4 linked regions of the Astyanax mexicanus genome follow. The protein of the gene in region 1 purifies or fractionates together with the protein of each later gene. This does not show direct contact. Links are inferred from orthologs where the notes say so. Each region holds a gene or a part of one and is shown in the gene's direction. Other genes may lie near its edges.

Region 1 (7,627 bases):
CTGGACACTTTCTATGAAGTACATGAACTACATTTAAACTGGGAGGGGAGCAACCAAAAATCATAATAATAGTAATCATAATAGCGATCTATTCTGCCTGTCAAAAAAATTGTGTGCAATGCACACAACATTATGGGTGACATACCCAGAGTTCAAAAGAGGACAAATTGTTGGTGCACGTCTTGCTGGAGCATCTGTGACCAAGAAAGCAAGTCTTTGTGATGTATGAAGAGCCACGGTATCCAGGGTAATGTCAGCACACCACCAAGAAGGACCAACCACATCCAACAGGATTAACTGTGGACGCTGTAAGAGGAAGCTGTCTGAAAGGGATGTTCGGGTGCTAACCCGGATTGTATCCAAAAAACATAAAAGCACGGCTGCTCAAATCACGGCAGAATTCAATGTGCACCTCAACTCTCCTGTTTCCACCAGAACTCAGAACTGTCCGTCACCACAATAAATTATTGTGGTCTAAAATCAGGTGTTTCAGTTTCATTGTCCAACCCCTGTATATCTGCAGAAATAAGATTTTTCAGTACAATAACAGAGCTTTAATAAGTGCAAGGTCTGTGTTTAATTACGTGCTCATGGAGGAAAGAGACAGGTCTTCGTTGGGTCTTGATGTGTCCAAAAGTAGCCAGACACCTGCACTAATTAGTGAATTCTGCTACTATAGGTTCACCTATTGGTGGAACATGCATTCAGTTACACACACACACACACACACACACACACACACACACACACAGAGCTTTTATATTAGCTTTTTTCAGTGACCTTATCTCATATTATTAGCTAAAGATTGTCCTACATTGAAGCAGCTTCAGTAAGTTTCAGTATAATGTAAAACTACTGTTTTAATAAAAGTAAAAGTAACTCTTGAGGAATATTTGGAAGTTTTACTTTAAAACTTTTACACTAACAGTTGTTTTAGGGTTTTTTTTTCTTTACAGCACTCACAGTGTTTCTGTCATTAACTGCTGTGGATTTCCTTGGTCTACCTGTTCAACATCTGTTACTAAGTACACCAGTGACGACTTTCTTCTTCAGGACATTGCAAACAGTTGTTCTGGATATGGACAATATTTGTACAATGGCTCTGATTGAGTTTCCATCTTTTCTCAGCTTCACAATTGCATGTTTTTCACCAATAGACAGCTCTCTTTTTTTTTTTTTTATATAAATGCACAGATAAAACCCAAATCCGAAACTGAATGATGTTTATTATATAATTAATGTTTAATGATAATTCATGAATCAGGTCACACCTGGGCAACAAAACACACCTGAGAGTCACATGTTCCAATACTTTTGCTCACAAGAAAGATGCGTACTATCTGTGCTATCATCTAAACAGTGTATCAGATGCATTTATTATTCATATTAACCTTATATTAATAGTTTAATGTCAAATTCATTTTCAATCTACACCAGAAATAAAGCAATTGACCTGAATGTTCCAATACGTTTGGACCATTGTAGCTGTAGCTATATATATATATATATATATACACACACACACACACACACACACATATATATATATATATATATATATATATATATATATATATATATATATATATATATATATATATATATATATATATATATATATATATATATATATATATATATATATAATGTTTAAACATATGAACTTATTGAACAGTCCTGACCCTGTAAACCAAACTAAAACAAAAACAAAATCTCTTACATATTCGTAACTAATTTGTACTTATATTTATAGTTTGTAAATAGCAGAAAGCTGATTAAATCTGTATTTAATTACACAGCTTAGCATTTGGCACCATCATGTTTCAGACCTTTACAATTGTATTACTCAACAAATAATTGTTTTCCAGGTGCCTTAACTGGCCTGCATGGGGTCATCTGAGGAAATGCTGATGAAATATTAATGAACGCTTACAAACAAGCACAAGAACAAGCAGCGAAAACATGGGGGAAACATGGAGGAATCCTAAACAGATAAATGTTTTTAACAACCCTCAAGGATGTGCTTTACATATTTGTTGGTGTACATATCAGTGGTATAAAAAAAGTGGCACTCCTGATAGTTTTTATGATTTCCCTTTATAAATCATTGGATGTTCGGATCAGCAATTTCAGTTAAACACAGCAGACAAACACAGTGATATTTGAGAAGTGAAATGAAGTTTATAGGATTTAAAGAAAGTGTACAATAACAAAAAAATAAAGCTGGTCATTTTATTGATTATTATTGGAACACTAAATTTGTTTGGTATGCTCATTGACACTTGACCTTTATACACAGGTGAATCCAATTATTAGAAAGAGTTAAGGTGTCCAATTGCATGTTCTTTTCTCTCATCATCTTCTCTGAAGAGTGGCAACATGAGAGCCTCAAAACACACCTCTCAAACAACCTGAAAACAAAGATTGTTCAACATCATGGTTTAGAGGAAGAATACAAAAGCTCAAACCTCAGAGATTTCAACTGTCAGTTTCCACTGTGAAGAACAGAGTGAGGAATTAGAAGATCACAGGCACAGTTCTAGATAAGATCTGAAGTGGCAGAACAATAAAAATCTCAGATAAGCAGAGGAGAAGGATGGTGAGAACAGTCATAGTCAACCCAAAGACCTCCAGACCAGCTCCAAAGACCTACATCATCATCATCTTGCTGCAGATGGAGTCACTAAATATTGATGTTCAGTTTTTCTGTTGGGGTGCCCAAATGTATGCACCTTCTAAAAGTTGATGTCTGTAAGATTTGGGATTTGGGGTATTTAGGGCCCTCTCTGGTGAGAATGGATAATTGCACCAAGCATGTGGAAAAATTATGTTACACTGGGCGGGTGTGATGCGGTCTCCTTTCAGAGCGCATGAATCCGATTCCAGGTTATGTTCAGTCAGAGAGAGAGAGAAAGCAACTTCACTCCTTTGTTTCTTTGTTTTTACTATGAGTGAATGAGACACTGAGGTCTGAGTTTCCTCTTCTGAAGTCTCCATTGCTCCACCAGCCACTCGCGTTCAGTAAAACTGAGCCAGATCTTCTTTTAGAGGCTGTACATGAGACGTAAGTTTGTAAAGACACGTGACGTGGCCAGAAGAAGAACTCCCTTGAAAAGTGTCCTGACCCCCCAGTTTTAAGAATTAATATATAAGGCTTAGCAGGAATGGTCGTTTCAGCACACTGGTACCATTAAACACAATATTTTGTCCCTTTTCCACTCAGAAAAGCTTCTGTTTTCAGTTTAGAAACAATATAATATGGACTGCCACTTTTAAATTTTGTTTAAAGAATTATTGCACACTTTCTGTAAATCGTATAAACTTCATTCCACCCCTCAAAACACAGTATCACTATGTTCATCTGCTATAAGATATATTTAAATTAAATTGCTGATCTGAACAACCAATGATTTACAAAGGAAAATTATGAAAATTATCAGGGGTCGCAACTTCTGGACCAATCAGCACCTCCTAACTTCTCAACAAAGAAGTGATGTCACTGCCGAAACTACAGAACCAACACCATAGTTCCCTCTTCACTAGCGGTGTAGTAGTGGTTTTAAATAGGTTGCTCATAATAAGTTGTTTGACAAAGCTTGACAGCATTGAATCTGACTCTCAGGAGTTCCCATCACACCTCGCAAAACGAAGAGAAATCAAAGTGCACGCGCTACGGGGTAATGATGCACGGAGCGTGTCTTGAATAAGCTCTCAAAGCCTGTAATACCCAGCATGTGGGTCGCTCAATTTAGTCTGTTGTCAAAAAGTTGTACAGAATATGTAACAGTGTAAACAAAGGGATCATCAGCATTCGAGTCTAGTAGCAAACATGCCTGTTTACGTTGAGCTTTTTGTGATAGTTATTTGTAAGGATATACTGTACCAGTCATATGTCTTCAATCCAGTGATTTTTTTTATGTTTTTTTTTTAGTCTATTAATTGTAATAGATTAAGTCATCCAAAGTATTAAGAAAACAAATGGAATTATATAGTAAAAATATTTTTTTAACAAACAGAACATGGAAAAAATATTAATTAATTACTTGAATTTCTTTCTTGTGTTTGAGAGCGTCAGTTGTAAAGTTGTGAAGAGGTAAAGTAAAGTTGTGAAGAGGTAAATCCATATTATGAGAAGCAAAAACTACTCAACTAAATAAAGAAAAAAAAATACTTTAAGAAATGAAGCTCATTCAGTACAGAAAATGTCAAGAACGTTAAACAGATCCTCAAGTGCAGTCACGAAGAGCGAGAAAAATGCTGAAAATGATAAAACTTGGCTCTCATCAGGACCACCCCAGAAAAGGAAGAGCAAGAGTTACCTCTGTTGCACAGAATTTCATCAGATGCCTCAGAAAGCTTAGACAGTTAACAGCACCCCAGATAAAAGCAGCTAAATTCTTCACAGAGTATTTTTTGAGCTTTTGTTTTTTAAGTTGGTTTGTCTCATTCCGCTATAATCCACTTTTTCTTGTTCTTTGTGAAATACTATAGGTCTCTTTGAGTTGTACAGCAGAAGGAGTTATAGCTAAGGAGGAGCTTACAGCTCTGTTTACACAGCTAGTTAGCATTAGCTATCTTGTGTAAGTAACTGTAGGTTTAAATAGGATCTCCGGTTGATTCAACATTTTACCGAAACCTTAAATCAGGGGTGTCCAAACTTTTTTTTGTTGGGGGCCAGAAGGAGAAATATATATGAAGTCACGGGCCACAGACTCTGTAATAAAACAAATAATGAAATACACCACTTTAAATAATACTTTTTTCCTGATTATTTCATTTACACAATTTTACTTGACTTACTATCTTTATCTTTGACAGTGTTGTGTAAACTAAGATTTTTCATATTGATGTTTCATTTCATGATGTCTCTTAATATTAAACTCCTTAATTACGGCAACATTTAGACTCTTTGGCCTGTTTTTCTGCGCTAGAAATGCGCACCCTTTCCCCTTTTAGACTCTTTGCCCAGTTTTTCTGCGCTAGAAATGTGCACCCTCTCCGCTTTTAGACTCTTTGCCCCGTTTTTCTGCGCTAGAAATGCACACCCTCTCCGCTTTTAGACTCTTTGGCCCGTTTCTGACACCTAGCGTTCAAACTTTGAATCTCACATTATAAAAACCTGCTTAACAGCGGGCCAACTTTCATTCTATTTTCTAAAATACCTTGCCGGCCGCTCCAAAAAAGGAAACGGGCCGCAAATGGCCCGCGGGCCGTAGTTTGGACACCCCTGCCTTAAATATACACTAGGAAAGCACGGTTTGACAAGGTAGCACAACTCGATAGAGCACCAGTCAAAGCGGGAGCCGTTCACTTTTACAAGATTTTACAAGAACCAAATACAGTCTTTCTTCAGAGACCTCTCATTCAGTGATCTAAATCAGGGCTAAATAGAAACACCTGAACCTGAGCACTTTTTTTTTTTTTCAGAAAAAACGGCTCACATGGCATTCATTTATACTAGTGACAACAACTAGATATTTTAAAATAAATGAAAAAAAAATGATGAAATGAGACCATCAAGACTTTTTAAAATATTTTTACTGCATACTATGACTACCTATTAAGAAAAACATTGTATGAGAAAGTGTGCCCAAACTTTTAACTAGTACTGCACAGCTTTTTATTTTGTGTACACTACACCATAGAAGTAATTAAATGCTAACTTGATCAGTATTTTAATTAGTAATTTATAGTCTAGGTGGCACAGTGGTGCAGTAGACAGTTCAAGAGGTCTGTGGTGGTGGGCCAGCTCTGGTCTTCTTTTGGGAGGAATTTGGTCTAAACTACATTTGGCCCAGTTCTGCATGGCCGATGCCAAGGTTCAGCTGATGCTGCCATGCAGCCGATTCTTCATACTGTCTGGGCATGAGTGTCCATGTGGGTTTCTTCTTCCTCTGGTTTCCTCCCACCTTCCAAAAACAAGTGTAGGTCAGGTAGCTTTGCTAAATTAACACTTAGGTTTGAAAGGATGTATGTTGTAGCCTATGATAGATTTAGGCTGATAGACTGTCCAGTGGGCATTCATGTCTTGCGTGCATTAACTCAAGGCAGGCTCTAAGCCCACTCTGTCTCATTGGGTTTGCACTTGGGGCCCTATTTTAATGATCCATACACCTATAGATCACTAAAATAGGGCCTCCAAGTCATAAACCGTGCACCATGCAGCTTAGGGCTGAGGGATTTAGGACATGTTAGTGTGTTTTTGCTATCATAACGACAGGAAAAGTATGCCTTACGTGGCTCCAAACGTACAAAAGGCGTGTACAAAAGGGGTGTACAAAAGGGGTGTGTTTTGGGTACTTCTCAGCAGAAGAAACATGACCTGGTTGTTTTTGTTGCTGTGAAGGTGAGCAAGCAGATCATTTACGAGAACAGCGATGTTATATTAATTTGTATTATATTTACTGTTCGTGTAAAAGTTGGATTTGTGCACTGCACAGAAGTTAAAATACGAATCCACCAAAATCAGTCAGTTAAGAGCACTTGGTTCTCAAACGGAATGGTATGCCCAAAACATGCCCATGATTCGTTAAAATAATTAGTACATGCCATTTGTGCATCTTGAGCTGTGCAAGGGATACTTATCCCATCGTTACAATAGCAAAGACAAACTGCCATGCCCTAAATCAATCTGCATGGTTGACAGTTCGCCAAAATAACAGTTCGCTAAAATTCAGGTAGCCCAGTGATTAAGTGTGCTCAATGATTCAGGTTAGGCTTCGGACCCACTGTGACCCTGACCACAAAGAAGCAGATAAGTAGATGGATAGATGGAAATGTGGATGGATGGATGGATGGATGCATGGATGGATGATGAGCCATTAACCAGTAATGAGGTGGTACAGTAGGGATTGTATGGCCTCCACAGCTGTAGTGGTACGGGTTTCGGGTAAGATGCTTGCTGTGTTCCCTATTTGTAAGAAGTTTAGTGGGTTCCCCCAGTGTTGATATGGCTTTCCTTCAGTAATAGTAGGTAAATCGGCTATGCTAAATTGCAGGTTACTGTCGTTTACCACTGTCTTTTTGCTGTGAAGATGCTTGAAGATGAGGAAGAAGACACAGCAGACATTGTCTTAGGTGTAGTACAATGATTTATTACAAAAGACTAAGGCAAAACCTTCAAGGCTTCCTAGGCCAGCCTTGGAGAGAGATGTTTTCCGGATTTGAAGTTTCCGCTCTCTCTCCCCCTCCCCACTCTTGGGGGCCTCCTTATATATGGTGATATGGTATATATCTGGAAACACTTAAGACATACATAGCCATAGACAGCCATAGACCGAAACTACCTAAAGAATAGCATACCTGTCAAGTCTCCCATTTTGGCCGGGAAACTACCGTATTTTACGCCTCTTTCCCGCCGTCCTCCCGTTTTTTAATTTTCCCGTAAATGTCCCGTATTATATTAATATTAAAAAAAAACTTTATTATTAAGGAGACGGGGCACTGACCGCTCTGTGTCTCTTAACCAATCGTGGTGCCGGTTCAGGGAGAAAGTCCCGCCTTTCAGGAGAAACAGCCAATCAGCTTGCTGGTTTTGCGGAGCGCGAAGGAGGGTTAGTGTGGGGAAGACCCCCCGCCCCCCATCGCTGTGAGTTCAGGCAGCTAGTCGGAGCTGCTGATGTTAAAA
Region 2 (7,522 bases), on another chromosome or scaffold:
GCATTCACACTGCAGAGAAACCATATTACTGCTCAGACTGTGGCAAGAGTTTTATTCAGAGAAGTGGTCTAAAAACACACCAGCGCATTCACACAGGAGAGAAACCGTATGACTGCTCAGAGTGTGGCAGGACTTTTACTCAAAAGAGTGGTCTAATAAACCACCAGCGCATTCACACAGGAGAGAAACCATTTCACTGCTTAGACTGCATGAAGAGTTTTAAATTACTGTGTACTCTCCAAGTACACCGGCGCATTCACACAGGCGTGAAACCATATCACTGCTCAGAATGTGAGAAGAGCTTTCGGCATTCAAATTCATTTAAGGGACACAAGTGCACTGAGAGCAGTAACAGAAATTTGCAATAACACTTCTTTAACCATCTTAGGTCACAGATCTGGGGCCCACACAAAGAGCATGACAGAAATAATAATCAACTAATCTGCAAAATAATCCACAGATTAGTCAACAACCAAATTAATATAAGCTGTGATAAATTTACAGATAGGTAATAATATCAGATATGCAGATCTATAGACTGACTAGACTTATTAATAGGACCACATATTGTTAATGTAACTTTGACAAGTCATATGTTTCCATTGTTTTACACATGAGGCTGAAGTTTGATATTCGCAGCTCCAGATTTGTTTGGCTCTATATTTGCAGCCTCGTATTCCCCGGCTGAAGCTGGTTTGATTTTCGCAGCAACTGCTTCACTGAACGGAATTACTTTTGCTGTCAGGTGGAGAAAGGCTATTTTGGTTTCAGGGAATATTTAAAATTGCAGGGTGCAAAATCATTTGCCACCTATTCATTCCTGTTGGGGGAACCAGCAAAATCCAATGCTAATTACACACATCACAAAATTAGATTAACAAGTCTGCAGTTTGAATGATGTATGAAGTAGTGTAAGTCAAAGTGATGACTTCAGCCTCCAAATGGGAAATTTGTTGTTTAACAAAAGACGGGCTCATCACCTAGGACAGCAGAGAGCATGAAGATCCCTGATTCATTTGATACAACTACTATTAAAGGAATTAAATTATTCTTTTAGCCATCAACATTCTGATGGGCTTAAATATATATATATATATATATATATATATATATATATATATATATATATATATATATATATATATATATATCAAGATCTTTGTAATCTCATACAAAAATAAGGCTTGCACAATTCCTTGTTGGCTGTGCATCAACCAAACAAAGAAGTGAATATATATTTACCACAAAAACAGGGCTTGCAGCTTTTGAGGTTTTTGAAGGGAAGAGCATGGGTGGTGTTGGTGGGGGGTGTCAGCGCACAGGTGTGTGCAGGGTTGCCAGTTTAAAACTCGCCCATCAGAAGCTTAAACTAGCCCAAATATGTCACACGCTTAAATCAATGGCTTAGTATTTTGTTTTTATGGAAATTTTATCAGTGTTGCTATTTTTAAATTAGCAAAAAAGACCTGACCTCTACTCTTTAACATTTTTTTCATCGACTTGTGATTTCTGGTTACATTGTGATCTCTCTCTCTCTCTCTCTCTCTCTCTACCTTTCCCTTTATCTTTTCCATTTGAGGCCTTCAGTACAGGGGTAAGGGAAGGCCTTGTAAAATGAAGGGAGTAATGGTCTATTAGTATGTCTGTGTATTTTTTTTGTTTGGCAAGTACCCAGTAAAGAACGAGATCAAAACAAATCACCATGAGTTTTCCTTTTTTGTGTGCAACACTAGAACTAAAATGGGTGTGAAAAATGGCTGCCGAAATTACTGATACTGATAGTTACTGATAATTAACATTATTAGCTGAATACAATATTCTCCTAAATCAGCTGTGGTTAATTATATGATGTAAGTACAAAACCCATAATCGTATGATGAGATTTACTTACTGTAATGTACGCTCTTTAAATATGGCGCCCCCGCGTCGTCCTGTGTTGGTCTGCAGCGCCTTCTTGGAAAGTTATTGGTTGGATCACGTACATTTTACCCGGATACTGCGATGCTATTTTTTGATTGGCTAGTGTCTAGCTATAGTTCTTAATGTATTGACTGGTGTGGGGCAAGCTTCTTCGTCCACAGTTACAAATATCGGGGAACCTTGGCGGGCGTTGTTCTAGAAATGCCCGTGGAGGAGCAAAATGAGTATTTTAAATAAATAAAAATGTATTTCCCCCGTTAAATCATAAATGTTATATCTATGACTGCATAATGCTAGATGGAGCTGCTAGTGAATCCTCAATGTACAGAGAGTTAAACTGCTAAAACTTTACAATTAAAAATACCATCTAACTCTTTGTCCATGATTATAAAGTATATAACCATGAAAAAGAATAATAAAGTATTATGTTTTAAATATTTTAACAAAATACTGGTTGGCAAGTGGATTCTGAAGTAACAGTAAAAGCACGCTGATTTTACCTGAAGTATAAAAGCATGAAAATGCCTCTTTGTAAAAACATTCGATATTGTTTGATTTATAAATATAATATGATTTTGCTCAATTGCTCCGATATGAACCCATTAATTTTAGACTCGCGCCCTCTAGTGTCTGCAAACTCTTTAGAGATTCTCAAGTGGGTATTCTCTTCTTCAGAGATTCATACCTGTCAAGTCTCCCGTTTTGGCCGGGAAACTACCGTATTTAACTCCTCTTTCCCGCCGTCCTCCCGTATTAGTATTTTCCCGTAAATTTCCCGTATTATATTAAGATTTAAAAATATATATTATTGAGGAGACAGGGCACTGACCGCTCTGTGTCTCTTAACCAATCGTGGAGCCGGTTCAAGGAGAAAGTCCCGCCTTTCAGGAGAAACAGCCAATCAGCTTGCAAAGGAGGGTCAGCGTGGGGAAGCCCCCCGTCGCTGTGAGTTCAGGCAGCTAGTCGGAGCTGCTGATGTTAAAACATATCTGGATATTCAGCGATTTTTCGGTAGGCTAATCATGTAAACTGTGATGAGATTTTTCTGATAGCTGCTTAAAAATACTCGTCTCCGAAATAAAACACACAGATTAAACCTTTTAAAATAAAAAAATTACAGCTTGTGACTCGTACTAGAAATGTGGAGAGGACCGAAATTAACTGAACTGATCAGTAGTGTTCAAAAGAAAAAAGTATTATTTAAAAATTATTAATTGTGTAGGCCACTTAGGACTAATTTTTACTGATGGAATATGTGTGGTCCATTGCCTTTTAGTAAAAGCTCATAATACTATTTTTAGGTCACCTACAGTCATTTTGCAGAATTTGTGCACCCTTTGTTCAATTTTAAATCTATTAAATAAAAAAAAATATATATAATATAAAAGAGTGCATTTAAAGGCAAAAAAGACATGAAATCTTAACTTTTTTTAATATCTAGAAAAGGGTTTTTAATTTGGCTGTATTAAAAGAATGACATATGTAGGAATGTCCACAACATTTCAGATTCTGATAATCTAATTGTAATTTGTAAGTGGTTCACATGTGGTTATTTTAGATTTTTTGTAAACCTGCCTTAAAATGTAAGAGATACTGAACTTTCGTTGGGCTGGTGGGACGACTTTAAGCGGACGGAGGAAAATATCCCTTATTTTTAAATCTAAAACTTGACAGGTATGGAGATTCACTGCACTGGAATTTTTATTGGTTTAATTGTCTTTGGGTTAAATGTAATTAATTAGTCTGACACTGATATCAATTAAAAGTAATAAACACAAAACGCCGAGGTCAAAACTTTTTAGTAAGTAGAACCAATTGGCTTATACGGTTTATACGGTTCTGTTTACAATGGTACCGTTATTCCCTCTTCAGTCCCCATCACTATTGCACTATTGTTTTGTGTCTCACGTATATCTGTGACCTTGTTGTATTGTACATTTAGTGTCTCTGATTCTTTTATATTTATATTTTTTATCTTGCTGTACTTGTTGTAACTTTGGGAAGGAGAGTAACGTAATTTCAGTCATCTGTATGTCCTGTGCATATGCATTATTTACAATAACACGAATTGACTTGGCTTACTATAAATAAGCTTTATTTTAAAAGCAACTTAAATTTAAATTGAACAAAACAGCTGAGTACAGCTTTAATTGTTCTGGAACTTGAAAAGTTGTTCCCAGCTGGATCCAAAGAATAGTAGGTTCCACTAAATCTGGTGCAAAGACTGGCTGTTTCATTGAAAAGCACAATGTTTCTTGGCTCTTTGGGTGTAAAAGGGCTGTGTGATTGAGTGTCGACCCCAGAGCGGCCAGCAGATGGCGCAGTGATCGCTTTTCTGCGCTGCGATGTAAACGTAGCGACGCTCAGGCGTTACGTGATGGCGTCACTGCTCGAGGCTGGCGATGACGGCGGGGCTCGGCGGAGGGACGGACTGAAGGCTGCAGATGGATACTAGGCGAGATTTGGTCATTTTTTCGTCGTTTGTTTTATTTCCCGGGTCTCGGAAGAAAGTACTGGACAGTTCTGCAGCGGAGATTCCCCGGAGGTTAGTGCTCGGGCTCGTTTCTGCACTTCTGGCCGCTGCGTTTGTTGGCTGCGGCCTTGGCTCGGGGTCCGCCCTCCGCTCGGTCTCATAACAACAACAAAAACACAGCCCGCTCCGATAGCCTAGCCTAGCTAAAGAGCCGAGCCGGGACGGGCCGTGTGGAAGTGGTGGTGTATAAACTACTTCAGCTAGATGGTAGTGAGCCGTCAAGAACTGAATATAACAAACGTACAGCGACATTGTGTGATTCGCTGCGGTGTGGAAACAGCGCTGAATGTGTAAAAGCTGTCGGAAATGAACGTTAGCCGACCTGCTAGCTGTGCGTCCAAACTCTCAATGGAAACTTGTTCATTAGCTCCGAGCATACCCGCTTTGGCAGGTTGGCAGAAAAACAGTAGCGTTAAGTTCTGTGTTGAGAACAGGGCTTCCACTAAATATTATCGTGGTAGTCGAATAATCTGACGATTATTTGTCTGACTGGTCAAAAAGTCAACGATTATTTCAGCTATACCCTCAACCTCTGCCTCCTGTGGTTCCAAGCTCCCGTTTCTAGTTTTCTTTATCCCTCCAATACAACAGAAACAGCTGAATGTTGGATTTAAATGACCAGAAGACAATTAGCTATTTGATATTTAAGGAAATATGTTGTAATCTGTAATCGGTTGTGTGTCTGTTAACGTTACTTTTCGTGACTAAGCGAAATGTAGACTAAGTGAATCTCTGCACTTTGTGCAGTGTGCATTACATTTACAATTTAATGATTCGTTGTCATTGAAATTTACAGTAAAATAATGTTGATTATACTGATTAATCGTTAATCGTTGCAGCCCTACAAGAGACACACAGCTTTTTCTTTCACTGCTCTGCTTTTTTTTAAATATTTGTGCCATACGGGGCTGCAACAAATATTTGTAGATTGTAATTTTTTTTGCTGAATATCAGAGCATTTCACATCTATCCGAACGTCTTCTGGTCATTTTAAGAAAATTTAAGTTTCACGTTAAGCAGTTTTTATCATGTTTGAAGCGATAAAGAAAGCTAGAGACAGGAGCAGTAGCCACACAAAACCGAGACGGAGAGCATGGCAGAAATAATCATCAACTAATTAGAAAAATAATCGACAGATCTATTATTATCATCTGTGATATATTTACAGATAGGTAATACTATCAGGTATGTATATCTATAGAGACATACTGACTAGACACATTACCAGGATCACATATCATTAATGTAACTTTGACAATTCAAATGTTTCTATTAATTTATGTAGAATTTCGTTCTCTTCCATAATTGCATTGCTGCTGTTGGAAATTGTAATTCTGAAATCTCCACTATAATGAAGTTTCATTAGAAGTGGTAATGATGTGCAGTTCAGAATTTTGTAAAATTTTCTACTAGAAAAGTTTCAGTGTTTCTACTATTAAAAAGTAATTCATATGCAAATAGATTATTAATGTGAATTTGAGTGTCTAAAATGCCACATAAATCAGTGGTGACGTGAGATATGATTAGGTAAGACTAGTCAGATAGCTGAAAGCAGAAATGAGAGTTTCTACTAGTAAAAACTGCATTATAGAGATTTGAATCGAATTTGAAGGTTTGCTGGTTAACATTACAGAAAGGTTTTGTTTTTGTATCATTGTATTAGTTCGTGGCACATATAGTATTTTTTAAAATCTCAGATTTGTTTAAGAACAGGACTGCAGTGAGTGGGTCACACAGATGGGGCAGGAAATCAGAGCAAACAGAGACGGAGGCTGTCTTGTGTCACTGGGAGAGTGACACCTGAGAAAGTGAGACTGACCGATTCTTACACCGCCCACAGTTAGAGGCATTGACCTAAATGTAAGTCGAGAATTGAAGAAAAGGTGCACATTTGTCACACAGGACAGAGCTGCAGTGTGCTTCATGAATGGCCAACATTGACATAGGGCTTGCCCTTCTTGACAGGGGATTTCTTTTACTTTTAGCAGTATTTTAGGCTGGATTGCAGGATGGGCACTGCTTCGTATTTTTATCGTACCTGTTGTATATTAAAAATATATATCATGTGTGCCCTTGCTAAAAAAACCTGTTGTTTAGCTGCAGTGGTGAGGAGAAGCACGAGGCCTAGCGCTCACACTAGTAAACATTAGTTTATGTGCGCGTCAGATATGGTTTATCAGTTGCTGCCAGACGTGCTCTACGACCAGTGCGCTAAATAGAGGCTTTTGGTTGGGCACTGGGCTGCCCTTGTGTGTGAGCTCATGCCATATGACTCTCAGGAGACCCACAGGGCTGTAAGAAGCCCTCTGGCTGGAGAAATTCCACCCTCTCAAGACATAACAATCACTTAGCTTGTTTAGTTGGAGACATCCTCACAGTGTGTTGCATATGAGCAGTGTTCTTTATTAAATGTGGAATATTGTTTTTGTCAGATCAGAAAACAACAAAACAATGAAGGTTCTTTTTTTCTAAGTCACATTTGTCTGACTTAAAGAGTGCTAAAGGAGCATTATCCAGAGTCGCTGAGATAAAAGCACACAGATAAAACAGATAAGGTGAAGCTCTCAGAGTCTACAGGAACTTTCACTTTTTTTGTGAATGGTGTCTGGTCACATTGGTCACTTTCCTCAAATATGTGTCGCTGTAAATGCAAATTTTTAGTTTGTTCTGTTGAAGGTTATGGTTCTATTTAAAGTTGTTTTGCATAGAAGCCCTGGATTATTGTTCGGAAATGTTTACAGTAAAGGGCAGAAGTGCAAGGCATGGCAATGCCGATGAAGGGATGGTGTGTACACAGTGGCCGGTTGCTCCCGCTGGCATTAGTTCAGTGGTGTCACTCTTCTCCACATGTGCGCATGAGTAATACATCTCTCTCTCTCTCTCTCTCTCTCTCTCTCTCTCTTCCTCTCTCTCTTCCTCTCTCTCTCTGTCTCTCTCTCTGTACTGTCACTACCAGAGACACTATATTTACTGGACAGTAAAAACAGGTTTTGTTGAAATGGTGACACAGCCTATTATTTGGAACTGGTATTTATTCATTTATGTCTTTAAAAATATATTTAGTTGTAT
Region 3 (7,634 bases), on another chromosome or scaffold:
CTCATACAGAATAACCAACACAAACAATACTTACTCAAATTTCCATCAGCAGGAATAAAGCTCTGTCTCTGCAATTTTTAGATATCTAACTACAACAAACAACGATGGACTTTTAATACTTGGTCATTTTGTCCACCCCTCAAAGCACAACTCCACATTTTTCATAAAATCACCCAATCTGGCAACACTATAAGCCGGTGTACGCTGTTAATTTCAAGAGTTTCTCCATGTAGTTCATTATTAATGTGTGGATTATGTTTCTAAACAGCGTGAATATAACAGTTAGAGAGATTATTGACTCCATGATCAGCTCCGAGCTTCACTAACCTTAATTCCGAGCTCAGTTCAGTGTGTTTATGGAGTTTTGAAACACAGTTCAGCCGGTCAGGTGTTTAAGGGAGCAGAGCGGGCGCATGTTAATGATGAGGGCGTGTCCGAATTCACTAAGTAGTGGTGAAACAGAAGTGAATTCAGACACGCCCTCAGAGCGTGTATAAAACGTTCTGCTCGCATAAATAAACATCTGACTGACTGAAACGGTGTTCTGTCAAATTATGCTACCCATTATGCTACCCATCGATACATAAAGGTAGTGCGCATGCGCCGACCTACACCTTTTTTGTGTTTTTTTTTTTCATAATAGAAATGTATTTTGTGCATTAAACAAGCTGGACTCACTGTCATTGCACAAAAGTGGAAATATTAATTAATTAAAATAAATACAATAGTTATTATTTACAAAAAAAAAATAAAATAAAGCAGTCTGTAATGACCTCTCATTGCCATAACTTTACCATGACACAGTGATTTATGCTATCCAAAAATACTAGCTACATTTACTGGGCTTTCTACAGGGAACATGCTATAATATGGTGCTACTTATGTATTTTAAACATTTAAATATACACTAGGGTAGCACGGTTTGACAAGATAGCACAACTCGACAAAACACCGTGTTTAAAACTTCATAAACACACTGAACTGAGCTCTGAATTAAAATTAGTGAAGCTCTTCCTCTCTGACTGTTATACTTAAGTTACGCTGTTTACAAACATAATCCTCACATTAATTAACTACATCTGAAATAAACAGCGTACATCAGCTTGCAGTGTTGCCAGATTGGCTGTTTTATACTAAATGTTGAGTTGTGTCTAAAATTGACTGTATAAAGTGTTAAGAGTTTGAAAATATAACTCTTCAGCGTTGTGGTTAGTTAGCTAAACTTGCAGAGACGGATTTTTCAGTCCTGCTGATGGAAGTTTAAATAAAAAGTGTTTGTGTTGGTTATTATGTAACTCTACGTATTTACTCATTTCATTGCTTTGGGTCGTTCGTCCTACTATACAATGCACAAAACACATATATAATATAAACATGCAGATAAAACCATTTAAATAACGTTTTTTTTTTAATTGGTGATATTATAAAATATTTAAGGTGTTTTATTTAAGATCACGTTGGAATAAACCCTGTAATATTGTAGATATGCTGAACATTAGCTGTAAGGTTGTTTTACTCAGTATTATGGAGGATTCTAAGTAGGGGTGGGCAATATTATATCGTATACAATATATCGTGACAAAGAAATATCATGATACTAAAAATCCATATCGTGATAATAGGGCTGTTCTGTCTTAAAAGTAGTCTATTATTTACTGTGAAGCTTTAGGTGTATTTATTGTATAATTGTTTTAGTTCGCAGTTTATATTCATGCACTAAATATTCTGCAGTATTATTTGCTGCATTGTATTATTTTATGCTATATTATTTATTTTGCCACATTATGATTATACTGTTATTCTCTTATACTATATTCCTGAAATTAATGAATTATTTTAGTTTTCCTATATCGCCAAGTATATCGTTATCGCAAAAATACCCTGAAATACCGTGATATTATTTTAGAGCCATATTGCCCACCCCTAATTCTAAACATTTTAAACAGTGACTTATCTGATTCCTACTGTATCAATCTGGCAACCCTGGTGGCTCGCTGTCTGCTTCGTTTGATCGATTGTCTGTTGATTAGTAGTGAGTCTCGCAATGCATTCTGGGACACATTTAGCTCACACTGAAAACGGCGATATTTACTATAAATCAGGATGCATTATGGGAGTTTATAGTGCCTCAAAATCACATGCAACTTCTCCCTTACGATTTGGACACTCGGAGAAAAATGGCTGATATACTTTATAGTGCCCTAAATAGTAAATAGGGAGCCAGTTCGGTCATAGTGGTAACTAGCGTTTTGGCGCCAAAACGTTAGTAACCCAGAAATGAGTAATTATTAGGCAAAATATGCTTCAATACCTGCTAAAAACACACAAAAATGTGTCTAGAACTGATATAAAACCTCCTTTTGCCAAGAACGTGTCTCAAAAATACATATATTATTTTAAAACAGCACATTTTCGGAGTTTTTCTGCTCTGCTTACCTCCTGCGCTGCGTACAAGCTCCTAATGAGGTACGGAAGCAGGGTTGCCAGGTCTAACAAAAATATCCAGTCCAAACACAGTCTAAAACACACCCTTCTGAACCTTAAACTAGACCAAAATCTAAGTTTGTCACACGTTTGAAGCAAATGGCAAAACATCTGAGTGAATTACTTGATTTTATAAGGGATTTATGAACAGTATTGTTATTTATCTTTAAGTCATTGTTAGTATTGTAACATTAGTGTTTTATTATTTTATTTATAACAGTTTTAATTTTCAGTCAAGAACATTTAATAGTAACATAATAACATTATTTTATTTACTCTTTTCTGTTCTTGCCCCTCTTGAACTCTCTTCTTTCTTCTTTAACGTTTTTTTGTAGCTTAAACAAGCTCAATTTGGAGGGAAACAGCAAACCTGGCAACCCTGGAGGCACGGAGCGATAATTAATAAAAGAAAATGTAGTTTTCTTGTTGGTGCAGGGAATTGTAGTCCAAAATAAAAACAGACAAAAAAAATAAATTTTTGCTGTTACAGCACATCAATCAAACTCCAACAGCAGTATGAAACATTACAACCGGCCCTTTTGTTCACTAAGAATTCATTTTATTATATATAAATATTTTTCTATTATTTTGTAGTCTTTTTAATTCCTTTACACCAGTAACAGGAGTGAGTTTTGGTAACAGGAACGAGTGCCATTAACAGGAGGATTTTTTATTTGTCATAAATATTAATTATCTGAACATGCAGTCAACCATTTCTTTAAAATAAATGCTTTCTTGAGAGAAAATAAAAGGAATAAGTGGACTTGCTTTAAACACATTCTTTTTAAATGATACATGAGTGTTTTGTAACCATCTTCAGCTTTGTTTTATAATCTTCAACTGTACAAAAATAAGTAAAGCTGTCTGAGTTTGACCAGTACATGTTTTAAACAACCAAATACATGTGTTATTAGATTCAATTTCGAAAAAGATTTTAAAAATAAATGTAATTTGAAAGAGTTACAAAAAGCAAATTGCACTCATGGCCCATATGTCACAGGGTTTATGTGCTTCGAGGGAAAAGTGCAGGCTGTAGACATTTATTTCAGCCACCTGATGTCACTCTTCTCTGAGGCTTTTTATTAGTTTTTTTGTTCTGCTGTAATGTGTGACTTTCCTGTATGTAACAAAAAAGGTATATTTATATTTTACTAAAATACTTTAAAACGTTTTTTTATAGTTTTATATCTTCTCAATTTGGTTTGTGGCACTTAGTATAAATAATGTATTAATAATTCTAATAATTTTACATTAATAGTTATTTTTTAATGAATAGAAAACAGAGATCTTTTTTTTTAATAAGTAAATGTACAAATCAAGAAAGGTAGCAGAAGTGTACAGTAATGTGAGAGCAAAAATAATTATTCTAGGAAGGTTTCCAGTGTACACTACAAGTACATTTTCAGCTAATGGAAAAAAAAAAACAGCAACAAAAACAAAACAGAATAAGGCAACACTTAAGAGAAAGAGAAATACTAACAAGGAGGCAATAATTGTCTTTTGGACATGAAGGAAGTCAAGTTTCACACAATTAAAAAAGCAAAGACTTTGATATCATATAATTTCTATTCAATTTCTATTCAATCTCTTGAAATATTCTAGTGACTTGAAAAAAAGAAAAGAGAAGAGAAGATAAGATAATCATTTCTTAGTCCCGCAGTGGGGAATTTCACAGTAGTACAGCAACAAATGGATAGCAAGGCATAACAAATAAAATAAAGGGTACAATATATACAATATAAATTATAAAAAAGTAAAGAACTCTTAAAACTGTATTTACAAATAATTACGCATTGCCTCTTAGTTGTACAGGGGCAATGGATTATTTTACATTATATTACACTGAAAAAAAAAACATATATATAAAAAAGGCAAAATCATGTATAAACAATGTGAATGATGGAGTTATGGCTTTTCACTTATATGAGTATATATAATATTTACCCAAAATGATAACAAGAATAACTAAATCTAAAATGTCTCTATTTATATATTTTGCCCATATGATACATTGCGATTTTTTTTATAAGTAAATTTATGTATGTCAGTAATATAATTTTATCTGACAACCAATGTGCTGAAGGGACTTTTACATTGTAGAATAAAAGTCCCGCGGGGTGAATTTGCAGCTAAAACCGTATGCGGTCGCTTTTTCTCCGTTTCTCCGGCAGCGGGAGGGAGAGACACTCACGGACTAAACACCGATAAAACCGCGATCTCCAGCCGCGCAAAGCCGGTAAACACACCGATCTTTACTCTCCACACCTGGGACACATTTTATAAACTGTCCGCGGGGCGGATTTGGGGTTAGAATCTGCGATTTTGGGCAAAATGTGTAATAGAAATGTCGGATCGCGGTGCGTTAGCTTGGCTGGCTAAGCTAATAGCGGCTAAGCTAATCAGCAGCCAGGCCAACACGCTTAGCTCATAGCTTAGCTTATGTTTCAGCTCATAAATAAGGTTAATTTAGATTAAACCGGACAGGAGTTGGGTGTGAAATCTTGGTTATTTGTATACTGTGGAAATTAACTGTATTTATGGCTTTATTGTATATAATTTAATTAATAATGTAGTTAGCTTTTTAGCTAGTTAGCTAACCTAGGTTAGTTTTTGCAGCGCGCATATGGATACAGATCACTGTAGCTAAGCTAACGTTAGCTGACCAGACTTATACCTTATTTTTTACATGCTCTTTATTATTTTAAACAGTTTTTGAAGTTTAAACAGCAAATACTATATTTTACTTACCTGCAAACCATGATCTGATCACCTTATCCCGGATTTATGTGAATATAATTACCCTTCTCAGCATCATGATGGCACACAGATGATCAGAACAGAATCTATGCAGCTCAGATTTGTAAATTTACAGCTTTATAGCTTAATATATTAATGTAATAGTAAGGTGTGAGCGCTACAGAATGCAGTACTCATGGTGAAATGCTGTTTTAGGGTTTGTAAATGGATTTATTGCTGTGTGAACTGAACGCAGCCACAAGGCCAAGGTCGCCTCGAGGCCTGGAGTCTGGCACACACACATTATTTACAGTATTGACACTTTGATAACAGTATTTACTGTGTTTAAGCTGTTGTTTCACTGTTAAATCAGTTTAATCTGCTGTATTCACAAGATTCACAAGATCTGAGTGACTTTAGTGTAAGATAGTGTAAAGTCTCACACTGGGTGATTATCTTTAATCTGTCATTAAAGAGGCACTAAACCCTAAATCATTTTTTAAAATCATAAATAGCTTTTATTAAAGTGTTCTTCCGAAGTAAAAAAAAAAACATACCAGTCCTGTTTAATTTTTTGTAAACCTTTCCTAACATTTATAGGTCTTGTTCCATCATTTTTTTGAGGTCTCTAGTATGAATATATTCCATGTGAGCTGGTTTTTGTTTATAAAAAAATAGCTCTGGTAATCTGGTATAAGGCTGCTTTAGTCAGGTGGAGCAGTGGGTGGGTAGAAACAAACAGGATTTGTCTCTTGCTCATGAATACATACATGCAAACATATCGCCTCTGATTGGTTAACAGCACTGCAACGTCAGGAAGCGGAGAGATGGAGAACAGTTAAAACGTTTTAAAATAAAGACATTTTCACACTAATAACAGTCTTTGCAATGTCATATGTTATTTTACAACAAGTGTAATACTAGTACAAGAGTATTTTTTAACTGCTAAGTGCAGTTCAGCCGCTGATATAGTCTTAGAGTCTTTGTAAAATGCCAAATCCACCGGAGATCCCATGTAAACCTATAGTTACACACAGAGGTGGGTAATCCAGGTCCAGGTTTTCATTTTTAACTAGTGTAAACAGAACATACACCTACTTGTACTTCACTGGTGGTGTTATATAGACAAATTCTAACCATTTGTTCCTTAGACCTGAATTACTGGGCAAAACATATAACACTGATGTGATATTTGCACAAATAACACAGGAACGAACCTTTTCAGCTATGTTGTTTCTAGCGCTGTTAGCTTCTAATCAATCAATCAATCAATCAATCTATCAATTAATAATACCACCTCTGGTGACTTCCAACCATCAGCATCTTACTGCTATCAGAGGCACAGCTCAGCCAATCAGCTCTTCCTTCTTCCTGCCCTTAAACCCATACATCACCCAAATTTGAGCTGAGGGTGAAGTCAGCAAAAATCAGGTGGTTTAGTGCTGCTTTAAGCAAGATGTATGGATGGATGGATACCGAACAGTGTAATACAAAACTATAAGGGTGGTGTAGTATAAAAAAGTGGGTACAGATACAGCACAACTATTGACAAAGAACTGCCAAAAGAATAGGACCCCCTGGCGCAAATAAACAGAATGTAGAGACGTAAACATGATTTTCTGGCCCCTAATTGCAGGGTTGAACTATGAAGCTCCTCAACTGTTGAACTGTGTTCTCTGGAATAATTTATGCTCCATCCAGCACAATGTATTTTGTCTCAACAGGGTTATTCTAATAACACATTTACATTAGAAGTGCCACTGGTCTCTAACTTACCTCTTACTCAGTAGTACTGTTCTAACCATAACTTTATCTCAGCAGTGCTACTCAAGTCACAGCCAGACTTTTTGTAAACAAACAAATTCTTGGGCTACTTTAGCTTAGCTGATGTTACTATCCTAGCACTGTACAGCAATTTGACGTCATATGTTATTTAGCCTTTTTTAAACTTATTTGCTTGCCAGAGATTTAGTACCTCCATTCTAGGGCTGGGATTGGAATTCTATACTGACATGTCTCTCTCTCTCTCTCTCTCTCTCTCTCTCTCTCTCTCTTTTTCTTTCTCTCTCTCTTTTTCTCTCTTTCTCTCTCTCTCTCTCTCTCTCTCTCTCTTTTTCTCTCACTCTCTCTCTTTCTCTCTCTCTCTCTCTCTCTCTCTCTCTCTCTCTCTCTCCCCCTCCCTCTCTGCTCACTATATCCTGAGACATTATAATACAGTAGTGAAAAGTATCTATTCTGCCAGACCTATATTAATATTATTTAATCTAATGCTGATATTTCTTTAAAAGAAACTCTTCAAACTATAATGCATCCAGCAATAATATAATAATAATAATAATAATAATAATAATTTGTAAAATATTTAAAGTTTAAGCAGTTAAAATAATGCTGTTATAAAGTGCCACAAATAAATA
Region 4 (8,096 bases), on another chromosome or scaffold:
CTAATTAGCTAATTAGCTAACTAGCTAACTAGCTAGCGCTTTCACTGTTGAGTTTCGCAACTTCCTGCACTTGCTTTTTTTAAGTCACTTTAATTTCAGATAAATTTAAGTAACTCCAACTCAGTTTCAAGAATTAAATGTTACACAGAGTAAATAAGTAAACTTATTCAGTCAATCCTTTCTTTTAGTAATATTTACTAAGTCTCACTTCCTCAACACATGGACGGCATGTAATACATTCTTTTTTAGTATGCTATAGTACTTTAGTGTACTAAAAAGAGCGTATTACATGCCATTCATGTGTTGAGACAGTGTAATATGTGTGTTTTAACTAAAATATTTACATTTCAGGAATTATAATATAATATGTATCCTAATTATTTGAGTAATATTGTATAAATTAAGTAATTGTAATTAGGTAATATTGTATACAGAAATGAAGTAAAGTTTACTAAAAGAAAGGACTGACTGAAGTTCAGTTCACTTATTTACTCTGTGTAACATTTAAGTCTTTAAGCTGAGTTGAAGTTACTTAAATTTATCTGAAATTAAATTTACTAAAAAAAAAAGCAAATGCAGAAAATTGCGAAACTTTTTTGGGGGGGTAAATTTTACTCATCATTTTTTTCAGTGTAAGAAAGTAAAGTTTGCAGAGGTTTTTAGCTAGTCATTTTGAAATATAATATGTAATATTTAACTAATAAGTATGAATTATGAAGAAGCAGGAATCATGTCGTATTTTCTTTACTCAGTACACGGGGTGAAATCTACCCAAACACACTGAGTGCAGATTGTTTCCTCACTTTTTTGAGTAGATTCTATAGTTGTTGTTTTTTTACAGTATAGCCTCGAACACGTTCCACCAGCAGGAAGATGTTTGAGATGTTTTGCCAGTAGTAAAAGATCAGGGAGAGTCATGCTGCTGCATTATGAGCTCGATTAAGAGCTGCAGGGGATATAAAAACACTTTTGTGGACGGTGGACGGTCTTCCAAAGGGCTGGAAGAAAGAAAAAAGGGGAAAAGACAAAGTGAAATGTCCACGTATTTACTATAATCTTTACCCTGGGTGGGTGAGTGTTAAATCAACACTTATGCTTTAATTTGCCCGTATATCACCCTGACTTATGACCTCCCGATAGCAGAGAAGCTCGGAGCGGACTGTGCCAAATTCAACAAGCTTCTTCCCTCCAGTATAACCCTCCATCCGTCTCACTCTCTCGCCGCGCGAAAGTATGAAAGATAATATGGCTGAGTAGTGTTTTACTGCAACCCAGAGTATTCCCTTTACCTCGCCTGTAGCCTATAAACATCTCATTATGCAATTACAGCCTGGAATGTTTTCAAGCCCATACTGCAAAGCTTCAAAACACTTCTCAATATATATAAAACCACATGCAATTTACTGATTAAGGTGGGTGACCGAAATGGTGCCGTACAGTTCAGATAAATAAAATAAAAATAAAAAACTCAACAAAAAACAGGGACAAATTTAAAACCTCTGGAATATAATCAAGAGGAAGATGGATGATCACAAACCATATCAAACGATTAAACCAAGCTGAACTGCTTGAATTTTTTTGCACCAGGAGTAAAGCAGCATAAAGTTATCCAAAAGCAGTGTGTAAGACTGGTGGAGGAGAGAGAACATGATGCCAAGATGCATAAAAGAAAAAACTGTGATTAAAAACCAACCAGGGTTATTCCACCAAATATTGATTATTTCTGAACTCTTAAAACTTTATAAGTATGAATATGAGCTTCTTTTTTTTTTTTTGCATTATTTGAGGTCTGAAAGCTCTACATCTTTTTTTGTTGTTATTTCAGCCATTTCTCATTTTCTGCAAATAAATGCTCTAAATGAGAATATTTTTATTTGGAATTAAATTGGGAGAAATGTTGTCCGTAGTTTATAGAATAAAACAACAATGTTCATTTTACTCAAACATAAACCTATAAATAGCAAAATCAGAGAAACTGATTCAGAAACTGCATTTTTTCCAGAGCTGTATATGTGTATGTATGCATATATATATATATATATATAGTCATACTCAGTTAATAAGCAAGTAGTAGTCTATATACCTCTCCTGCACCAAATCACACTTTCACATTTTTCACATCAAGCTCAAATATTAGACTCTACAGTCAGCACTCAGCTCAGAACATCATCACACCCCCCACCTCCACCTCCAGACAGGATCTTTAGTGCAGGTTTAGTTAAAGTGTACTGCCACCTGCTGTCTGTTATACAGCTCTGTTAAAGATTTAAGGCGCTCTGCTGTGAGAACAGATAATACTGTGTAATTGTACAAGAATTGTACAAAAGTCCAAGAACTGAAAGAGAGCACTGACCAAATGATTGATTTTTTCCCAATGGCGAATAGACTAAATATACTAGAGACAACAGTTTTCCCAATTTCTCTCAGAAATCAATATTTGGTTAAATAACCCTTGTTTTTAATCACAGTTTTTTTTCATGCAGCCTTACATCATGTTCTCCTCCACCAGTCTTACACACTGCTTTTGGATAACTTTATGCTGCTTTACTCCTGGTGCAAAAATTCAAGCAGTTCAGTTTGGTGGTTTGATGGTTTGTGATCATCCATCTTCCTCTTGATTATATTCCAGAGGTTTTTAATTTGGTAAAATCAAAGAAACTCATCATTTTGAAGTGCTCTCTTATTTTTTCCAGAGCTGTATGAATATTTGTAGCTTTTGAATTTGGGCAATATAAGACATTTCGAATGCAATTGCTTTAATTTGATGCAATTCAATCATCATGTATCAGGTAATTTATGTATTACTGATTTGAAAAATGTTAAAAAAGAAACTAAAAGAAGTAGTTTGGGAGCGGCACTGGGTGATGTATGGGTTTAGGGGTGGGGCAAGAGGGAGAGCTGATTGGACTGAGCAGTGTTCCTCTGATAGCCATGAGATGCAGATGTTTGGACGTCAGCAGGGGGGCGGTATTATTGATTAATTGATCTGCATGTTTTGAGTGTCTGTGTACATCATCCTCACCTATAGCACAGTTGAACCTGAGAGGGCGCTGCAGCGGCAGAAATGACTAATAAAACTATTTTTTTTACTAATAAAAGCGTTTTTAAAGGTTAGTAAATGTTTATAAAAATTTAAATCAGAACTGGTATGTCTTACTATTATAAAGGAAGACATTTCAGCTATTAATAGAAATAAATATGGTTTAGTGTTTTTAGTGCCTCTTAAATAAAAATCTGAATTACAGGAATCTGTCGCTGTTGCACAGTTTTACCAGGATGTGTCACATATTACTGTGAAGTAGACAACAGAGGAAGTGGTTTAATTTTAACTCTGAATTTTAAAGCCTAATTGGGGAAGACAAACAGTTGGAGGAATGAATGTAATGCCAGGCCTCCGACTGCTGCACTGCTGCCCCGCTGCCGCCTCAACCGGCTGTTCGGTTTTCCCTGGGAGTCAGCGATTAGGATACAGCATGGTGTTTACAGCACAGTGCTTCAGTAATGAGGAAAACAACACCATCTCTAACCACTGTACAGACCCACAGCAGCATAAATAAATAAATAAAAACAATCAATAAAAAAAAGCCAAATTTTAATTTGTCATTTTTTATAATTCTGACTTTTTTGCACTTCAAACTTGAAAAAAGAAGATTTTTCATCATATTTACAGGACTTCTTCATAAGATTACACAGAAATATCTTACACAGAATACTTTATTACTTATTTTAATTTCTTTCATGCATGCATCCAACATGTTTCAGTAAAAAAAAAATAGTAAAAAATAGAAAAAATATTTATAGATTGTATTTATTGTAATTTATTTTACTGTGACAGAGTGGACTAAAGCTTAAGACTTTTTTTTAAAGAGAATTTTTCCAAGTAAAGTAAAATATGAATTTAGCTGTACTGATCTATGGGGTATAAATATGGGACCACCTGCATTGAATATGGATGTGATTTCTGCCAGTCACTTCATAAAGTCTTTCTGCGCAGACAATTCTATCCAGATGTTGCCAGTAAGAGGCTATTAATTAACATGCTTATTTTATATAAGGGCCATTTGCTTGTTGTAACTGTTCCAAATTAAACTTAACAAGGATACGACTAAAATGTGTATTTTAACTTAAATATTATGGCATTATTGAGAAAAAAAATATTTTTACAGCATAGATTGGATTTGATGGGAGTCACACAACAATGCAAAAAATATATACACCTCTGAAGGATTATATTAATAATATTTCATGGTAAAGTTTATAGTTAAAAAGTGGGGGATAGGTAACTAATGCTATTTTTGTTTTTAGGACAATTTATTATATTTTTTATTACACTTTTTTTACTTTTGCAATTAGGTCAATGTACAAGACACTGTGCTTAATAAAAACATTTATTTATTTAAAAAATATTTTGTGTGCACATTCATATATGTAATTTCCTGGGGACAGAAACATAATATGTTATGTATATAAGTATAATAAGTTGTTATAAAATATCATTACTCATATTTTTTATTGGACACGATAGTTTTACGTTAATTCTGGTTAAATTAGATATTTAACTTTGTGGATTTACTCTCTCTTTAAGTTCCCACACTGACTTCGCAATCGTCACATGTTGACCAGTGCGTGTGTGCGCGCGTGCGCGTGCGTGTCTTCTTTTTACCCTCAATGCTATGAGGGGACGCCGCTGCTGTGACGTTTCCGCTTTCATTGGTCTAAAAAGGAAGGAAACAAAATCTCAACCAATGAGACAGGGTCATGTGAGGTGTCTGTCAAACGTCAGCCAATCACAGTAAAGTCCGCTGTTACATGCGACGTGACGTTTCGCGTTGCTGACCGAACGGAGCTGATCCTCTTGCTGTCTGGGGATTGTAGTTTTTATAAGACAGTGTTGTATAGTCTCGCACTGCAGGAGAACTACACTTCCCGTGATGCAGCGGCACCGTGGAAACAGCCATGCTTGTGTTTTTGTTATTGTTGTTAAACGCTTGCGGCCTCGCTGCGGACGGGTAGCCGTTTTAGGGGGAAAACGGAGCCGCTGGAGCCGCGGAACGGGTTTATTACACCGGACAGCTGAGGAGAATCAGCGCGGAGGAGCTGAGAGTGAATAAGGTGAGTTTATTAGAGGTTAAAAAGCTGCAGAAAGTCTGACTGCATGTTTTACACGCAGCAAAAAATGAATATCGGCTGGAAAAAACGGTCAGTTTGACGAATTGCTTGTTATAATCTTAATTTTGCGGATTATTCATTGGATTATTATTGATTACAGTTGTAAAATCAGTGTATTTATCAGTGTTTAAAGCTGCGTGCAGCCTGTGGTCATCTGTGCTGGCTGCTTTAGGCCTTGTGTTTTCCTCATTTGCCTCATGTGCAAACTGTAATTTAGTTAACCTAGCTAACATAGCTAATTACAGTCTGTCCTGATGTTAAAGGCACCATATAGGCCCAAAGAAATGATGTTCAGAAGGATTAATCTACTAGATAGGTGACCAGATTAAGATTAACCCTTTTATCCCTGATTTTATTTTCCAGTGAGACATTCCAAGTTGCAAAAAATAATTTCATGGAGGTATAAGTTATATATACACTTTATACTTCATTATTTCACCTCAACATGCCTTTTGCAATCATTTAGTCCCCTGTGGGCAATGCTAAAATCACTATTACAAACTGTACAGCGAGCAAGGCTTTCATTGTTTAATACTTTTAACGGACAGAGATATACTTTAGAGTAGTCTGAGGTGAAATGAGTTTTGATGGGAGCCATGATGCTCCTGACCGCATCCCATCATCCTGTCCAGAAGGAAAAAAAAAACACTGCTGATTGGCTGACTCACAGACTTTTTTGTAGATAGCAGGCCAATCAGAACAATATAAGCAGAACAATAGCTAGGTTACTGTATCTATACAGATATAGATATTTTAGTTGTTTCCACTTGACTTAATTGTTTAGCTAGCTAGATCAATTTTAACATTTTTAAGATGATCTTATTAAACTTTCTTATTCCTGCTTGCATCTCCTTGAAAATAGCCAAACTAAGTACTGATAAGCAGCCGTTCTGTCTTTGCTTTAATATCTTTCAAATTTATCTGTTTATTTTACTGAGCAAAATGTAAAAAAAAGACTTCAAAAGGCTTTTTTTTCACAAGATAAGACTGTACTAACTTCTCATTCAGTTTGTAAATTAATATAAAAATTAGGTGTACTTTAGGGCTGCAGCAGTTAGTAAATATAATCAATAATGTTGATTATACATACTTATTGTCTCACATATTGAAAAGTCATTTCATCCTATATAAATTTGATCAGATTAAACATATTTTTAATTGTTTAAGACTTGAGTAGAAACTGCTCTTAAAAATAGGGGCTAGGAACAATATTCAAGACAGTATGAAGAGCTATAGCTAGGTGTGAGAACCCTGTTATTGTGTAAATGTTTATAACAGGCTAATAATTACTGTTATAAGAATACTGAGAATACTGTATAATATAATATAATATAATATAATATAATACTCTATAATCTCATTTGCATGCTTGTGACTTTGTAAGTATTCTGTTAAGCAGCCTATTATTCAGAATAGCCTCTCGGTACATAGTTAACAGTGTTCTCTGTGTGTCGGCCTGTAATACAATATGTTCCGTTTCCTGTTGCTAATTAAAGCCCTGTTGGCCTGTTGGTTCTGTTGTACTGTATTGCTTTCATTCAGTCACCTGTTGCCTTTAGAACTGCGCTTCCCCAGTTTCTGTATTATTTTAATAACATAATTATATTTATACATTTACTTGATCTTTAGGGGTTTTAAATTTGGAGAGAGAAAGGCTTTTTGTTCTTTCTGTCTTTTCCTCCCTCATGTCTTTTATTTTGGTGGTTGTTTGAAGGTTTATAATAATTATAGGGTTCAGTGTGTTATCTAGCTGAGTTCTCTGTACAGATGTTAGACTGAATTCTCTTTATGAACTTCTCCACCGTCTCCACCTTCTCCGCCCATGATGTTGCGGCTCTTTGATGGTGCTGTAAACAGACATTTTTAGATGAAGTAATTATTGATTTCACGAACAGCCGCAAGATTTGGCGCTTTAAAAGCGTTTATACCTGTCAGTGTAGCTCTATCGGTCATATTTTAATGTATCGAGTGAATAAATTAGGTTTTATAATGTTTGTGAGTTTCAGTTTTTTGGTACTTTGTCTTTCGTAATACAGCAAATTACTTTTAAATCAGTGTTTATATGTATAATTTGAAAAAGGCTTGGACGAGTAGTTTGGGAGGGGCACTGGATGATGTATGGGTTTAGAGACTGGGCTGGATGGAGAGCTGATTGTCTTATTGTTTTTATCGATTTTCTGATCTGCATATTGTGAGTACACAGAAACATCATCCTCGCCTGCAGAGGCCGAAATGACCACAATAAAGTGTTTTTTAAAGGTCAGGAAAGTTTTTTAAAAAATTAAGCAGGACTGATATGTTTTATTACTTCAAATAAACACATTTCAGGAATATAAAAAAAATATGGTTCTTTAAGAGATGTGCATTAGGTAGGACAAACATTAAATTAGTATTAAATGATTAAATTAATTTTTGATGTCCGTCACAAGATTTGTTTGGCTCTATATGCAGAGCTCTTGCTGTATTCGACTGATTTCCCTGTTAATAAAGGTTTATTCAGTTTTTATTTTAAATGGCTATTAGGTACAAGTTGGTCATTTGTCAGGAGATATTTCTTAAAGGGGCGCTAACCCCCCTGATTTTTGCTGACTCCACCCTCAGCTCAAAAAAAAAATAGTTTTAGAGGGGCACTGGGTGATGTATGGGTTTAGGGGCGGAGCAGGATGGAGAGCTGATTGGCTGAGCTGCAGATGGTTGGAAGTCAGCATTTTTTAAAGGTTTATTATAAACGAAATGTTTCTAATAATTTTAGGCAGGACTGATGTTTCATTACTTCGAAGGAACACATTTCAGATATTATTGGAAAAAAGATGGTTTTAGGTGTAGTGGCTCTTTAAGAGATGTGGATTAGGTAAGACGAATGTTTTAAAAAATATATATTTTATTCAAATATTATACGATTTTTGCTATTTTGTAATCTATAATAC

What was found.
Region 2: the proteins of aurka (region 1) and mtmr3 purify together in Homo sapiens (affinity purification with mass spectrometry; 3 studies listed by BioGRID and IntAct, counting the BioPlex papers as one, with this or other methods). This does not show direct contact. The link is inferred for Astyanax mexicanus from reciprocal best matches to the Homo sapiens genes AURKA and MTMR3.
Region 3: the proteins of aurka (region 1) and dicer1 purify together in Homo sapiens (affinity purification with mass spectrometry; 4 studies listed by BioGRID and IntAct, counting the BioPlex papers as one, with this or other methods). This does not show direct contact. The link is inferred for Astyanax mexicanus from reciprocal best matches to the Homo sapiens genes AURKA and DICER1.
Region 4: the proteins of aurka (region 1) and calcoco1a purify together in Homo sapiens (affinity purification with mass spectrometry; 3 studies listed by BioGRID and IntAct, counting the BioPlex papers as one, with this or other methods). This does not show direct contact. The link is inferred for Astyanax mexicanus from reciprocal best matches to the Homo sapiens genes AURKA and CALCOCO1.

Annotation. Positions count from the first base shown.
Region 1 is NC_064424.1:42,037,638-42,045,264, forward strand, and holds the start of aurka (aurora kinase A), read left to right. Parts: upstream 1-4,495; 5' UTR 4,496-4,505; intron 4,506-7,627. UniProt on the Homo sapiens protein: Mitotic serine/threonine kinase that contributes to the regulation of cell cycle progression.
Region 2 is NC_064419.1:34,446,756-34,454,277, reverse strand, and holds the start of mtmr3 (myotubularin-related protein 3), read left to right. Parts: upstream 1-4,294; 5' UTR 4,295-4,465; intron 4,466-7,522. UniProt on the Homo sapiens protein: Lipid phosphatase that specifically dephosphorylates the D-3 position of phosphatidylinositol 3-phosphate and phosphatidylinositol 3,5-bisphosphate, generating phosphatidylinositol and phosphatidylinositol 5-phosphate.
Region 3 is NC_064421.1:4,264,802-4,272,435, forward strand, and holds the start of dicer1 (endoribonuclease Dicer), read left to right. Parts: upstream 1-4,620; 5' UTR 4,621-4,720; intron 4,721-7,634. UniProt on the Homo sapiens protein: Double-stranded RNA (dsRNA) endoribonuclease playing a central role in short dsRNA-mediated post-transcriptional gene silencing.
Region 4 is NC_064420.1:1,176,886-1,184,981, forward strand, and holds the start of calcoco1a (calcium-binding and coiled-coil domain-containing protein 1), read left to right. Parts: upstream 1-4,937; 5' UTR 4,938-5,112; intron 5,113-8,096. UniProt on the Homo sapiens protein: Functions as a coactivator for aryl hydrocarbon and nuclear receptors (NR). Recruited to promoters through its contact with the N-terminal basic helix-loop-helix-Per-Arnt-Sim (PAS) domain of transcription factors or coactivators, such as NCOA2.